Stegostoma tigrinum: one gene and its partner. The protein of the gene in region 1 binds, or shares a complex with, the protein of each later gene. Links are inferred from orthologs where the notes say so. Each region holds a gene or a part of one and is shown on either strand. Other genes may lie near its edges.

The links.
Region 2: the proteins of vasoactive intestinal polypeptide receptor-like (region 1) and vip are in contact, whole or in part, in a cryo-EM structure (PDB 8E3Z), measured with the Homo sapiens proteins. The link is inferred for Stegostoma tigrinum from reciprocal best matches to the Homo sapiens genes VIPR1 and VIP. Residues at the interface, in NP_004615.2 of Homo sapiens: Glu36, Cys37, Val40, Ile43, Asn69, Phe90, Leu92, Phe93, Tyr118, Ile120, Asp125, Asp126, Asp132, Gln135, Thr136, Tyr139, Val142, Lys143, Tyr146, Tyr150, Arg188, Lys195, Phe200, Ser202, Glu204, Ser205, Gln207, Cys208, Met219, Phe222; in NP_003372.1 of Homo sapiens: His125, Ser126, Asp127, Ala128, Val129, Phe130, Thr131, Asp132, Asn133, Tyr134, Thr135, Arg136, Leu137, Arg138, Lys139, Gln140, Met141, Ala142, Val143, Lys144, Lys145, Tyr146, Leu147, Asn148, Ile150, Leu151, Asn152.

Annotation. Positions count from the first base shown.
Region 1 is NC_081355.1:151,506,283-151,513,628, reverse strand, and holds the start of vasoactive intestinal polypeptide receptor-like, read left to right. Parts: upstream 1-4,210; 5' UTR 4,211-4,771; coding exon 4,772-4,834; intron 4,835-7,025; coding exon 7,026-7,128; intron 7,129-7,346. UniProt on the Homo sapiens protein: G protein-coupled receptor activated by the neuropeptides vasoactive intestinal peptide (VIP) and pituitary adenylate cyclase-activating polypeptide (ADCYAP1/PACAP).
Region 2 is NC_081362.1:94,092,250-94,099,554, reverse strand, and holds the start of vip (VIP peptides), read right to left. Parts: upstream 3,001-7,305; 5' UTR 2,658-3,000; intron 2,261-2,657; 5' UTR 2,250-2,260; coding exon 2,143-2,249; intron 378-2,142; coding exon 237-377; intron 1-236. UniProt on the Homo sapiens protein: PHM-27 and PHV-42 are two bioactive forms from proteolysis of the same precursor protein, that cause vasodilation. PHM-27 is a potent agonist of the calcitonin receptor CALCR, with similar efficacy as calcitonin.

The DNA of each region.
Region 1 (7,346 bases):
TTAGTATCTCTCCCGTTTCCTGGGGTTCAACTCAAAAATGACCTTCTTGTTCTTTAAGAGGCTCTGTCCTATGTCTGTTTACCCCCTTGCTCTTAATGTATTTGTAGAATCTCTTTGGATTATTCTTATCTGCCAATGCTATTTCAGATTTCATTTTGCCTTCCTGATTACTGTCTTAAAAATGCCCCTAAACTCCTTATATTGATTAAGAGATTCAGTCGGTCCAAGTTGTCTGTATTTTTAAAAAGATTCTTTTTTATTCTTGACTAGAACCTCAATATCTTTATTTATCCATTATTCCTTAATCTTACCAGCCCTACCCTTCACAGGAACAAAATGCATCTGAACTCTTGTCATCATACTCTTGAACACCTTCCACTTGTCAGATGTCCTTTTACCAACAAACAGTCTGCTCCAATCAACTTTTGAAAGTTCTTGTCTCATATCATTAAAATTTGCCTTACTACAATTAAAAACTTTAACTTTCATGGAAGGCTTATCCTTTTCCACAACCACTTTGAAACTAATAGCATTATGATCGCTAAACCCACAGTGTGGACCCACTTTTATTTCAGTCACGTGCCCTGCCTTATTGCCCAAAAGAAGCTTTTAATTTTGCTCCTTTTCTATTAGAAGCATCCACATATCGATCAAGGAAGCTTTCTTGAACACATTTGACAAATTCTTCATCATCCAAACCTTTAACACTATGGTAGCCCCAGTCAAGGTTCGGAAAATTAAAACTCCCCGTTATCACAACTTTATTACACTTACATATATCTGAGCTGTCCCTACATACTCGTTTCTCAATTTCTTTCTTACTGTTAGGGGGCCTATAGTACAATCCCAACAAAGTGACCTTTCCTTTGTCGGGCAGAAGATACAAAAGCTTAAACAAGTACCAACAGATTCAAGAACAGCTTCTTCCCTGCTGTTATCAGACTTCTGAATGGCCCTCTCAAATTTTAAATTTAATGTCGGTCTCACTCATTGTGCACATAACATTGTATTCCTTGCTCTGTTCTATTACCCTAATGCAATTTTTATGGTTAAGATCAGCCTGAACTAATGCAAAACAGAACTTTTCACTGTACGTAAGCACATATTTCATAACAAATAAAATCAAATCAAACCTGCTGAACTCACCCCTCATAAGATAGTCTCTCCACATCTGGGATCAGCCTAATGAAACTTCCCTGGGCTGCCTCCAATGCCAGTCCATCTTTTCTTCAATAAGGGGCCCAAAACTATCCACAGTATTCCAGCTGTGGTCTAACTTTTACAGTTTTAGCAAAACTTCCCTACTTTTATATTCCATTCCCTTCAAAAAAAAAGCCAAAATTCCATTTGGCTTCCCTGTTTCTGGCTGAACATGGATGTCAGCTTTTTGTGATTTATGGATGAGGACTCCCAAACCTCTCTGATCTGTAACCTTCTGCAGTCTTTCTCCATTTAAATATTATTCAGTCCCTCCCTTCATGTTGCCAAAATGCACACCCTACAGACAATAAGACATGCCGAAACAGGGTGAAAGTTGAAGATATTCTGGATGTTGGATTCGCTGATCTTAGCACTGTCTGGAATAAGAACTAGGCCATTCAGCCCCTACAGCCTGCTCCACTATTTAATACAATCATGGCTGATCTCGACTTGGCCTCAACTCCACTTTCCTGTCTGCTATCCATTATCATTGAATACTGACAGTGTGGAAGGAGGTCATTTGGCCCATTGAGCCCATACTGACCCTCTGAACAGCATCCCACCCGAATTATGTCTGTAACCTCTCAATTACCCTGGCTAATCCACCTAACCTTCACATCCCTTGATTCTATGGAGCAAGTTAGCATGGCTATCCACCTAACCTGCACATCTTAGGTTTAGATTTAGTCTTTGGACAGTGGGAGGAAGTCGGAGCGATCTCACGCAGACACAGGAAGAATTTGTGAACTCTACCGTAGTCAGTCACCCGAAGATGGAATTGAACCCAGGTCCCTGGTGCTGTGAGGCAGCGATGCTAACCACAGAGCCAAGTGTCATCCAATCCTTCAACCTCTTACTAATTAAAAATCTGTCTATCTCCTGCTTAAACCAACAAGTACTGCATTCTAGGGGAGTGAATTCCACAGGTTTCTGACCCTTTGAGACAAGTAATTTCTCCTCATCTCTGTTTTAAATCTGCCACCCCTTATTCTAAAAGTATGACTATTCATTCTAAATTGCCCCACATGAGGAAACATTCTGTCTACATCTATTCATCTCAACTAGATCTCTTCTCATGCTTCTCAACTCCTGAGAGTACAGGCCTGGACCGCTCAATTTCTCGTGCAAACACAAGCTTATCTTGAAACAAAATATGACACCAAGGGTGTGTAAGATCTGTTTCAGTCTCAGAAAGCTGCTGTGGAGGGAGACGACGCTGCTGAGTAGAGGATGTAATACTTCTTGAAATGTAACTACCATATCATAGAAAAACACAGCAACAAATTTGCTTATAGTAAGCACCCATGAACAGCAATGAGAAAAGTGACCAGGGAACATCAATGATTTGGATGTGAACATGGAAGATACGATTAGTAAGTTTGCAAGTGACACCAAAATTGACGGCATAGTGGAAAATGAAGAGGATTATCTCAGAGGACAACAGGACTTTGATCAATGGGCCAATGGGTCGAGGAGTGGCAGATGGAGTTTAATTTAGATAAATGTGAGGTGCTGCATTTTGGAAAGGCAAATCAGGGCAGGACTTACACATTTAATTGTAAGGTCTTGGGGAGTTTTGTTGAATGAAGAGACCTTGGTGTGCTCATTGTTCCTTGAAGGTGGAGTTGCAGGTAGATAGGATAGTGAAGAAGGTGTTTGGTATGCTTGCCTTTATTGGTCAGTGCATTGAGTACAGGGGTTGGGAGGACATATTGCAGCTGTACACTACCCTGGTTATGTCACTTTTGAAATACTGCCTGCAATTCTGGTCTCCCCGTTGTAGAAAAAATCTTGTTAAACTTGAAAGGATTCGGTAAAGATTTCCAAGGATGTTGCCAGAATTGGAGGGCTTGAATAGGCTTGGGGGCTATTTTCCCTGGAGGGTTGGAGGCTGAGGGGTGACCTTATTGAGGTTTATAAAATCATGAGGGGCATGGATAGAGTGAATAGACAAGGTCTTTTCCCCGGGTTGAGGGAGTCCAAAACTAAATGGCATAGTTTTAAAGTGAGAGGAGAAAGATATAAAAGGGACCTTAGGGGAAACTTATTCACGCAGAAGGTGGTGCGTGTATGAAATGAGCTGACTGAGGAAGTGGTGGGTGCTGGTACAGTTACAGCATTTAAAAGGCAGCTGGATGGGTACATGGTGTTCGGAGGGATATGGGCCAAATGCTGGCAAATGGGCATTTCACATTGGCTCTGTTGAAAAGTCTTTTAGACTTGAAATGTTAGTTTGCTCTCTCTCCCTGGATGCTGCCTGATCTGCTGAGATCTCCAGCAATTTTTGCTCTCAGTGTAGATTCTAGCTTCTGCAGTAACTTGCTCCCGCGATTCAATGGAACTGGATTAGTTTAGGATATCTGGTTGGCATAGTGAGTTGGAGCGAAGTGTCTGTTTCTGTGATGTATAACTCTATGACCCAAGGCTCTATAAAGTTTTTGGTTGAAGAATGGATATTGGCCGATTCATTACTAAAGAGGGAAACCTGAATCCTTTCACAAAATATCACCATGAGGTATTTTACTCACCCTAAGGAGGCAGTTTAACAGCTCATCCAAACAAAAACGCAATGTTGAGGCTGCAGAGGGTGGAGGTGAGGAGAAATGCTCCTTTTCATTGAGGATCATGGGTCAGGGTTAGTCCCTGTATTAGACACATCATGAATGGCATTGTTAATGTCGCCAATCATCCCCATGTCTGCGTAAAATATTATGGCATTAAAATCTAGGACGCATCATAAATCAAGGACTGCACAGACCGCGCACACAGGAGGCTGGAAGAACACAGCAGGACAGGCAGCATCTGGAGGAAAGGAGCAGTCAATATTTCAGGTATTACCCTTCTTCGGGACATGCTAACACAGAGAGAGGTGAGTGCAGGGAAGGCAGTGGAGTCAGATACATTGGGGACAATTAAGCGACTCTTGGATAGGCACATGGAGGATAGTAAAATGTACGGTATGCCGGCTAGTTAGATCTTAGAGTAGGAATAATAGGTCGGCACAACATCGTGGGCCGAAGGGCCTGCACTGTGCTGTACTGCTCTATGTTGGAAAGAAGGGTTATACCCGAAACGTTGACTGCTCCTTTCCTTCTGGTCTGCTGTGGTCTTCCAGCCCCCTGTTTGTCTGTCTGCCTTGGATTCCAGCATCTGCCGTTTCTTTTCTGCCTCTAACACAGGGCTGTCCAGTGTCAGGTACCTGATAGTCCCACCCCCAGATCGTGGGGCTGTAGTTGGTGCAAAGCGAGGTGGCTCAGTCCCTGGTTGGCGGCTGCTTCTGTCTATCAAAAGGAGAATCAATATACAATAAGAGACACCCAAACCTGGTCTCGGATCAGAGACTGTGGAGGCTCCTGGAGCTGACCGGAAGCCAGAATCTACGGCTCTCGTTGCTGTGTGTCAACTTGTGTGTTTTAGTTTTTGTTTAACAATTAGGAGATGTTTGGCCTTTGCCTTGCGACAGAAGCAGTAGCTCAGGCGGGGGAAGGATGAGCGCAGACCCGGCGTGCTGGAGAGCCCCCGCCGCTGAACGAGTGCAGCTCGAATTTCCGAGCGGCGCAAGACGGACCGAATGGAGTTCGCTCAAGTTTGCGTGTTGCTGGCGGCGCTGCTAGCGCACAGCGCAATCCCCCGGGTAAGCGAATTCGTTAATAACGGCCTTCTTATTCTCTTCCGGCAAATACAGAGTTAGGAAGACCAACTAAAACCGAATCTGGGAGAAATAGAGTGGAAGTTGATCCGAATTAAATTGCAACAGGGAAGCGAATTATACAACCAATTTTAACTCATTTTAAGTTAAGTCATTATTATCCTGAGGATGTAGCGACTGAAGTCAAATCACATCACAATTTTTAAATTGTTTTGTACCTCGTTATCTTTAGATTTAGTGGGTCCAACTATTAACAGTATTTCCCTTGTAAAGGTGCGCTGTAGATGTTGGATATAGTATGTTTCAGTTGGAATGTTACGCTTCTAACAGGCGGGGAATGGCTTGTCTGTAGTGCAGTGGTAGGTCCCTGTCTCTGAGCTAGCAAGCCCGGCGTTCAAGTGTCACCTGTGTGTGCAACGCCACAGAAGTTGCAGGTGAAATTCGGCATCATCTCCGTGTGTGACCCTTCTCCCCACCTGGTTAGGAAAATTCTTCCAAAGAGCTGCAGTTGGCTTAAGACCCCTGTGGGAGATGACGGAATGGACATGCAGGCCAGTGGCTGTAACATGTAAGAGCAGAAGGAAGCCATTCAGCCCACCGACTCTGCTGTCCCCCTCAGCGAGATCTTGGCCGATCCCATAACCCTCGACTGCCTTTTCCCCAACGCCCTTAACAAATTAAATACTGAGGAAGGGTCACTCGGCCCGCAAAGTTAACTCTGATTCCTCTTCACAGACCTGCTGAGCTGAACCAACAATTTCTGCTTTTGTTTCTGATTAAATGTCTGTCTGTCTCAGCCTTGGATGTGCATAAGGACCCAACCTCGACCCTCTGGGGTAAAGAATTCCACAGATTCGCTCCCCTCTGCGAGAAGAAAATTCTGCCTCATTTCTGTCGTATATGTGTGACCCCTCATTCTGAGATGATGCCCCCTGCTCCTATAGTCTCCCACAAGAGGAAACAAACCTGTCTGCATTAATCCCCTTAACACGTTTCAGTGAGATCTCCTCTGATTCTTCTGAATGTTGGAGTGACAGAGGGGGCACTCTTCCCAAACTGTAACTAGCCAATGAGTCTCTGACTCCTGGAAAGATGGGCAGAAAATCGCATTTTGTTGATGCAAAAGCACACAACCACATTCCAAAAACTTACTCCCAACGGCTGAGTGATCGCTCTGCAATTCTGTACCAACCAGGTGGTCTCTTTATTCAGAGATACTTGTGCGATGTGGGCATCGCTGGCTGTGCCCAGCATTTATTGCCCGTCCCTAGTTGCCCCTTGATGGGGGTGAGCTGCCTTCTTGAACCGCTACAGCCAATTTTTGTGGCAGGATACCCACAATGCAGTTCCGCACAGTGGAGCCAAATAGTCTCCTTCAGTGCCATAACTAATAATCATTTTGCGATAAGGTGAGGGAATGCCAGGATTTTGACCCCTTGGTAGCGAAGGAACGGTGATATATTTCCAAGTCGGGACAGTGAGTGGCTCGGAGGGGAACTTGCAGGGCATGGTGTTCCTATGTATCTGCTGCCCTTGTCCTTCTGGTTGGAAGTGGTCGTGAGTTTAGAAGGTGCTGTCTGAGGATCTTTGGCGAATTTCTGCAGTGCATCTTGTAGCTGGTACGCACTGCATCCACAGTAACAATATTAAATAAACCCAGCATTCATACATCCACAAGGAGCATCAGAGGCTCAGCGGTGATCTTGTAGAGGTTTATGAAATCATGAGGGGCATGGATAAGGTGAAGAGTCAAGGTGTTTTCCCCAGGGCAGGGGAGTCCAAAACTAGAGGGGCATAGGTTTAAAGTGGAGGGAGGTAACATATAAAAGGGTCCTATAGGGCAGCTTTTTCATGCAGAGGGTGGTGCATGTGTGGAATGGACTGCCAGAGGAGGTGGTGGAGGCTGGTACAATGAGAACATTTTAAAGGCGTCTGGATGGGTTTGGAGGGATATGGTCCAAATGCTGGCAAATGGGACTAGATTAATTTAGGATATCTAGTTGGTGTGGACGAGTTGGACTGAAGAGTCTGTTTCCGCGCTGTGTACCTCTACGACTCTATGATTCTAAATCAGAAAACACATGTGTAGGAAGGGCCAGTTTAGAGAATATAACTGATGGGGAGAGTGACTTTTGTGAATGTTGCAGCTTCTAATCGGAGTGTTTTGTCTCTGCAGGTGCTGTGTATGGTCCCTGCCTGTGAGATTATGCTGAGGGTCACACAGCTACAACAGGAATGTTTCCTGAAACTGAGTACAGACAATCAGAGTTCAGAGACAGGTGAGTGAACAACATTGGGAGGAGAGGTGACCAGGCCCTGTCGCACTGTCCGAGGAGCACACCAACCAGTTACAGGCTGGGAAAAGGCATAATGCCAGAGGAAGCAATAAGGTAGAAAACAGGAGCCTACATTTACCTAGCACCTGGATACCTCCCAGCCAATTTGAAGTGCCATCACTGCTGTAATGTGGAGGCTATTTGGAGCACAGTAAGCTCAC
Region 2 (7,305 bases), on another chromosome or scaffold:
TAATGGACAAAGAGTGAAGTGTTACTCGGTTGAGGAGGGAAAATAAGACGCGTATTCAGGCCACAACCTGATCAACCATGAATTTTGAACGGTAGAACAGGTTCCAGGAGGGTGACTGACCCACTCCTGATCGTGTTTCCTAAGTGTTAACGTAGATCATTATACTAGGCCCATTTGTGCGCAGTTTTGAATTGTTATTTGTTTTAAATACGAGATTGGCAATATAGTACTCTCACCTTGGAATGCTTGCAGACAACTGGTAATAGAGTTTATCACTGTCTGACAATGGGCTTTGGTAAATGTCACTATCACCTTTCACTGGTGGTTGTGACTGATCCTCCCTGGACTGACCATCGAACCCAGCAGCATTTCCCAGCCTGAAGGTTAGAGGTAAATAAAATCAGTCCAACTCTAGCATTGGCCTGGCTGTAAATAACACGAGGCTGGCTCACAAATAATGTGTTAGTGTAACCTGAGATAACAAGGTGTAGAGCTGGATGAACACAGCAAGCCAAGCAGCATCAGAGGAACAAGAAGACTGACGTTTTGGGCCGAGAGCCTTCTCCTGCAGTTCCTACTATTTCTGTTAGTGTAACCTAATGGCCACAGCACTGACAAACAGCGTAGACAGAGCCATACATGACAATGAACTGAACTGCATCAGAATAACAGAAGCCAACCATATAAGAAAGGGTTTCAGAGATAGTAGGAACTACAGATGAGCACAGCAGGCCAAGCAGCATCAGAGGAGCAGGAAAGATGACGTTTCCAGCCCAGACCCTCCTCCAAAAATGAAGAACGGTCTAGGCCCAAAACGTTAGCTTTCCTGCTCCTCTGATGCTGCTTGGCCTGCTGTGTTCCTCCAGCTCTACACCTTGTTGTCTCTGTATAAAATGGGTGATCGGTACGCAATTTGAGGCAGAAGTGATGATGTTACAATCTGCAGACATTTGGTTTCCGCATCTATGAACTTTTCCCCGGACATACCGATTAAAGCCAATCTTGAATTATCCTATAATGTCTCAACACAGGATCACATCAGTTTTCTGGGCAGACTGAAGAAAGGCATTAGCAATAATCACAGAGAAAATCTCAATCGAAAGAACGCCCTTCTTTTCACCGGTTATCAGCATTGTGTCCGGCTTGTTCCAGGAGTAACATTACAAAGACGTTGAGGTCTAAGATAATCCTCTAGAAAGAGTTGGGAGGGAACCTCAGATTCACACTCCCTGTTCAATCTGCGGAGTGTAATGTTCAGGTTTATATAGTTGTTTTTTTAACCATTGAGAGCCCATAAATAAGTCATTCATTCCAACATTGACCGCATCATCTTCATCATCCCAGTGACTCTTCCCCACTCCCCTTCGAATGTGGCAACTTCATTTATGAGCATTATCCCCGCAGTTAATGTGATGGATTCAAATCAGCCCAAATTCAATGAAATACCTGGAAGTTGTGATCATCAGCTGTACCCTCCCCCCACCCCCGCTTCTCCCCCGTTCGTGTTTTCATAGCAAAGCTCTGGGCGCGAGGCTGAATTGTCAAGCCCCTCAAGTATGTGCATTTCGACGCCACTATCCTGCAACGTACAATCGAGATTGCGGATGGACCCATCTCCCTTCATCCCCAGATGCAATGACTGTAAGAAATAGCAACAGCAGTACGCCGTTTGGTGCCTCCAGTCTGCTCCACCGTTCACAGGGTCATAGCTGATTCCACATTCCTCACTTCCTGCTCTTTTCCCATAACCCTTGGCTCCCCAACTGAACAAAAACCTAAACAATAAAACCAAAAGAACTGCGGAACCTGTGATTCAGGATTGGAAACGAAGTTGCTGGAAAAGCTCAGCAGGTCTGGCAGCATCTATGGAGGGAAAAAAAGAGTTAACATTTCGGGTCTGCTGACACTCAGAACTGTCCTGAGAATCTATCTCAGCGTAAAATATACATAAGGACCTACGCCACACAGCTCTCCGAACAGCTCAATGCTCTATTTTCAAGTCGGTCGTGTGAAATAACTGAAATTGCAGCATGATTGCCCACAATTGTTCAGGACTCTTCATGTAAAGAAAATCACTGAGGGCATTTCACACGGAAACGAGTGCCTTTGGAGGCGGGGGGAGAAAGCGGGCAGCGAACTTACCTCAGGTGGGAGTAGGTTCCAAGCGCCGGGAACCCCGATGTGCGGGAGCCGAACACATTCAGAAGAGCGAAAAGCGTCAGGACGTGGGAGCTGAGCCGAATCACCATTGCGTCGGATCCTGAAATCCAACATAGGAAGGCGTTACCTCAATAAAGCTATTCGAAGAGGTCTCTCACTCCACTGAATGGTTTCGGACCTGGGTCGTAGCTGAAAATTTAGGGATGTCTTTGGGAGTGGTACGGGAAGTCAAAGTTCGCCGTATAACCTTTCTTGGAAATAAGTCTATATCAGCAGCAAAGCTCGAGACATACTACTCGAAATTCTAATCTATTATCTCAAACCCAATTCTCTCATTCTCTTTCTCTCTTTTACACACACACACGCACACGCACACACGCGCGTAATAACTATCAGTTTGTTTGGAAATACATGGGAGAGTACATTGTTCAAGATTGTTCCGTTTTTGCACCTTCCAGAAACAGATTTAGCGATCAAAAGCCAGTTGAAACACTTACTATTACGTTGTTGCTTCAGATTGTAGCTGTGTGTTTAGCCGCTGTCCTTGGTGCTGAGTTAGAGAATGAGAAACTGAAGAACAAAGATCGCTCAGTTCTGTCCGCGGCTATTTCTGAGTTCTTCCTGACCCTCTAACAGTCTTCTTGGTTGTTTCTGTCTCTTTCTCTCAGCGAAGTCGAGATCCCCTAGTTCTCTTCAAGTCCCAGGACTGGAACTCTGATATCCAACACGCGGAAACTTGCTGGTTTTATACGACAGACCAAGTAACTGTCCACATAGAGCAGTCACGTTCCAGTTCCAAGAAAAAAAGACCTAAATGCATACACAAGGACGTCATCGGCATTCCCTGTGGAATGGGAACGCGTAGTCAGAGCCGGTTTAATAATTTATCGAAGGAGGTGCTTGTAATGTGTGATCATCTCCAGAGCAAGGTCTCACTACTGCTTCCTCGCCCGCTGATTGGAATGATCATTATAAAATTCCAAACTTTTCTCGGCTTATGTCCCTCCATGTAAAAATGTCCATGTTTGAACCGTCCCCAGGACCTTATCTCATAGAATCTTACAACACGGAGGGAGAACTCACAATGCCACTCTGTAAAAACTATCCCAATCTCACAAGTTTCGCCCCTTCAACTATTGATTCAGTTTTTTTTTTCGGATTTGTTTCCATAACATGTTTGGGTTGTGTATTCGCGATCACACCTCACTCTCGCCATAAAATATTCATGTCTCTTTTGGCTGTTTTGCCAAATATCTTGGAAATTTACGCCTTGTAGTCACTGACCCGCTGGTCACAGTATCTCCTCAAACACTCTTCAGTTTACAATCCGTCTACTAAATCTCCCCCTAACCTGGGATGGAAGAGGAACAACCTCAGTCTTTCCACGTAGTGTTAAAATCCAACTGCTTCCATAAATCTATTTAGATATGGACGGATTGTCTGTACAACTACTGAGTATAATTACAGCTAAAAACACCCAAGCACAATAATTCAAGCAACGGATCATGGCCTGGACTGTGGAATTTGTGCAAATTTAGATTTCATACTTAATGTTATTTCTTCTCCTTCCCCAACTGCTGTGGCGTTGGATGCAGAATACATGCAGAAGCTTATATATGTCTGTCTCAAATCTGGTGGAATGTGATATTAGGAATTTTGTCAGCGACGAAATTACCAATCAAAAGGTTACTTTTTTGTGACAAAGTAAGGCAAAGGGAAAATGCATCCCGATTGAAAACTGTCTTGGTATAATAGTTTTTTTTTGTTCAACTGCGTGCTCAATCAATGCTCTGAATGTATTAAGTGACAGTTTAGCAAGGGCTGGTCGATATCTTGGGTGGGTTAGCAAATGCAGTCTCTTGGAGGGTTCACTAAGTTTATGTATTGAATAATGGAGACGGGGACTGCAGCAGAATCTAATCGAAGAATTCAAAGATTTTACATCCAAAACAATTAATGGTTGGTTGACAGTCAGAGGCTTTCTGGCGCAATGGTAGTGTATCCACCTCTAAACCTACGATTCTCCGTCGTTCAAGTCGTTTCTGTTCCAGAGGAAAAATACAATACGTTGGTTGAGGAAAACATCGATTGCAGTTGTCGTAGAAGCGAGAGTCTCGAATCATTTTTGTGTCACAACTGAGCCCAGGGCTGAGGTGGTGGTAGAAGGCAGAAACCATTAGGAAACATGGAACAACGACGAAGTTAAACGGCTGGGGTAGCACATCATTACGGGAGACATGCACGAAATTTCGTCTGATGACTGACACAGAGGAGGCAAATTTACGATTTATTTAATCAAGAAATTCAAGAAAAATTTCATGTAGAATCATTCATATCCAGAAACGAATTGTTGACTGGAACATAATGGATGAGTCCAGATGAATTGAATGTTCAATAACAATTCTTACGATACGTTTTGAAAATTAATGGAATATCTCCTAGATGATCTCGTGGTAGGAAACGTTAGGTAACCGAAAGTAAGTTGTCACTTTAACTCAACTAACATGCTCATTTCATTAATCAATGGATGCCTGACTGAAAATTGCAAGCTATTATCGAACAAAGGTTTAGTTGAGATGGGGGTACTTGGGCATTTAAAAAAAACCTGTCCTCGGAGCACGTGAAATCTGAACCCGGGGCTTTCGGTCCTGGGGTTGGAACACTGGGTCCAGGGGTTGTGGGCGGCACAGTGGCTCAGCGGTTAGCACTGCAGCCTCACAGCGCCAGGGGCCCTGGTTCGATTCCAGCCTCGGGCGACTGTCTGTGTGGAGTTTGCACATTCTCCCCGTGTCTGCGTGGGTTTCCTCTGGGTGCTCCGATTTCCTCCCACAGTCCAAAGATGTGCAGGCTAGGTGGATTGGCCATGCTAAATTGCCTGTAGTGTTCAGGGGTGTGTGGGTTATAGGGGGATGGGTCTGGGTGGGATGTTCCAAGGGGCGGTGTGGAATTGTTGGGCCGAAGGGCATGTTTCCACACTGTAGGGAATCTAAACTAATCTACCATTGCATCACCAGGGACACCTAGGTATGATTATGAAGTGGGATTCTAATGAGGAATTCTATTAAGACAGTTCACTCGATTCAATATAGGAAAATGGCTGGTCACCTGGATCCTACTTCAAATTCAGACCACCTTGACTGGGTTTTCCTTGTAGAAATTTAATTGGCAACATGGCTGATTACTTGCGGTGGTAGTAGTTTTTTTTAAATGAAGTCATGGTGATTTGATGGCGAGAAAGCAGCTCTGTTGTGCGTGACAGATCTTCTGGGTACTTAAAAAAAAACCTAGATTGTGTTTACATCTGGACCAAGTGACCCGGGTTCACGTTCGTCCCCTCTAGAGGTGGGACATCTCTGAATAGGCGCATTAGGAAAATATCTGTTTTGTGTTAACAGCTACATGGTAGAGTGCTAGCGTACCTACCTCTGGTCCTGAAATCTTAGGTTCAAGACCCATCTGCTCCAGAGACGTGCCATTACCCATCTGAACAGGGTGCTTCAAAACATGTACTTAGGTCATGTTGTGGCTCTCCTTCAATAGCTTAACTGATAGAGTGGAGTACTACTGCATGCAGCAAAAATAAAATTGTGTTGATGAGGGCTCCCTTGGCAGAGTGATAGTGTCCCTATCTCTGAGCCAGAAGGCTCAAATTCGAGTCCCATCAGCTCCAAATGTGCAATGACATCTGTGTGACAGGTGGGTTAGGAAACATCTAGATTGTGTTGGGCCCTTGCGGTGTAGTGGTAATTTCCCCGCCTTTGAGCTATAAAGCATGGACTCATGTTTGATCCGCTCCAGAGGTGTGTAATATTATCAATGCTCAAGTCAAAATGAAAACATCTCCAAAGATCACTTCGTCGCAAGTTGACAAGAGCTAAGGCCACCTAGAGGTTAAAGCTAATAATCGTGATCCAAACACAGCGAATGTTTTCAATGGGAAACGTGTGGCTGATTAATGAATTGACATGCACGAAATCTTCCTGTTCTCTTGTCGACATCTTCGCCCCCCAGTCGTACACAAAAGATACGTTTTGAACAATGTTTCTTTTATGTTGAACCTAACAACCAAACACAATGAGGGAACTTATCGTTTGTTCTCTGATTTCTAAGAGCATTCGTTTAAAATAAAACTTCCGATTTTGTTATGGAGTGCAGGACAATTATTCTTGCGTTAATATTATTGTTTGAGTCACCCAGTTGAAACTGAGTTCAATATATCATCCAACGGAAATTTAAGTGTATACTCATGAGCTGCATTGAAAGCTGATTAAATAATATATATTTGAATCATGTATCGTTAATTTAATGCTGCCCTCATTCAGAGTTCACTTGGCGTATTTGGAACCGAACGCAATTAAGTGATTTTTTCTTTCTGTAATATTTTAGTATTTGACGGTGATGACGTTGAAGTGAAGATGTCCAGATTTGTGTCATGCGGGAGTTTTAACAAATTGTTTTACGTTTTCATGTTCTAATGAACGTTGCTGTATGTTGCATTAATTCAACTTGTTCTGGACCATTTTGAAACTAAGTTGATAATATTTGGTTCTGATTAACCAAAGACTGTTGGACACCAGGGACTGAGTCACATCCTAATCAAATTCAGGCAACTGAAATATCTTTTAAGAACCATTTGAAAGTGAGAATCTCAACAAATTAAGTCTTTAGGTATACCTGGAATAATTTAAATGAAAAAATAATTTTTAGAATAGATGTGTCAAACAATTGTTGCCTATTCCTAGTTAATCCTTAAAGACTTTTATCTTGAAGCCTCACAGTCCTGAAATTGCATTGCTCTCAAAGTGTTATTGGGTGAAAGTTTTCGACCCCTCTGCTGTGGAGATAATCTAACCTGATAAGACTTCATTGAATATTAGGAAATCCATTTATCCATTTTCTGATCATTGCCTTGTGTAAGGTTATTGCTGATTGCAATTTAAGCGGTTTATGTAGTGAATTATTGTCACCTGGATTTGAGTTCCAGATGGAGTATAATTGAAGATTTTTAATCAGTAAGCGAAGTTGTGGAGATATGCTGGAAAGTGGAGATGAGGATTATCAGATCAGACATGACTTCATTGAATGACAGAGCAGACCCAATGGGCCAAATGGCCTACTTCTGCTCCTCGATCTTAATCAGTTTGG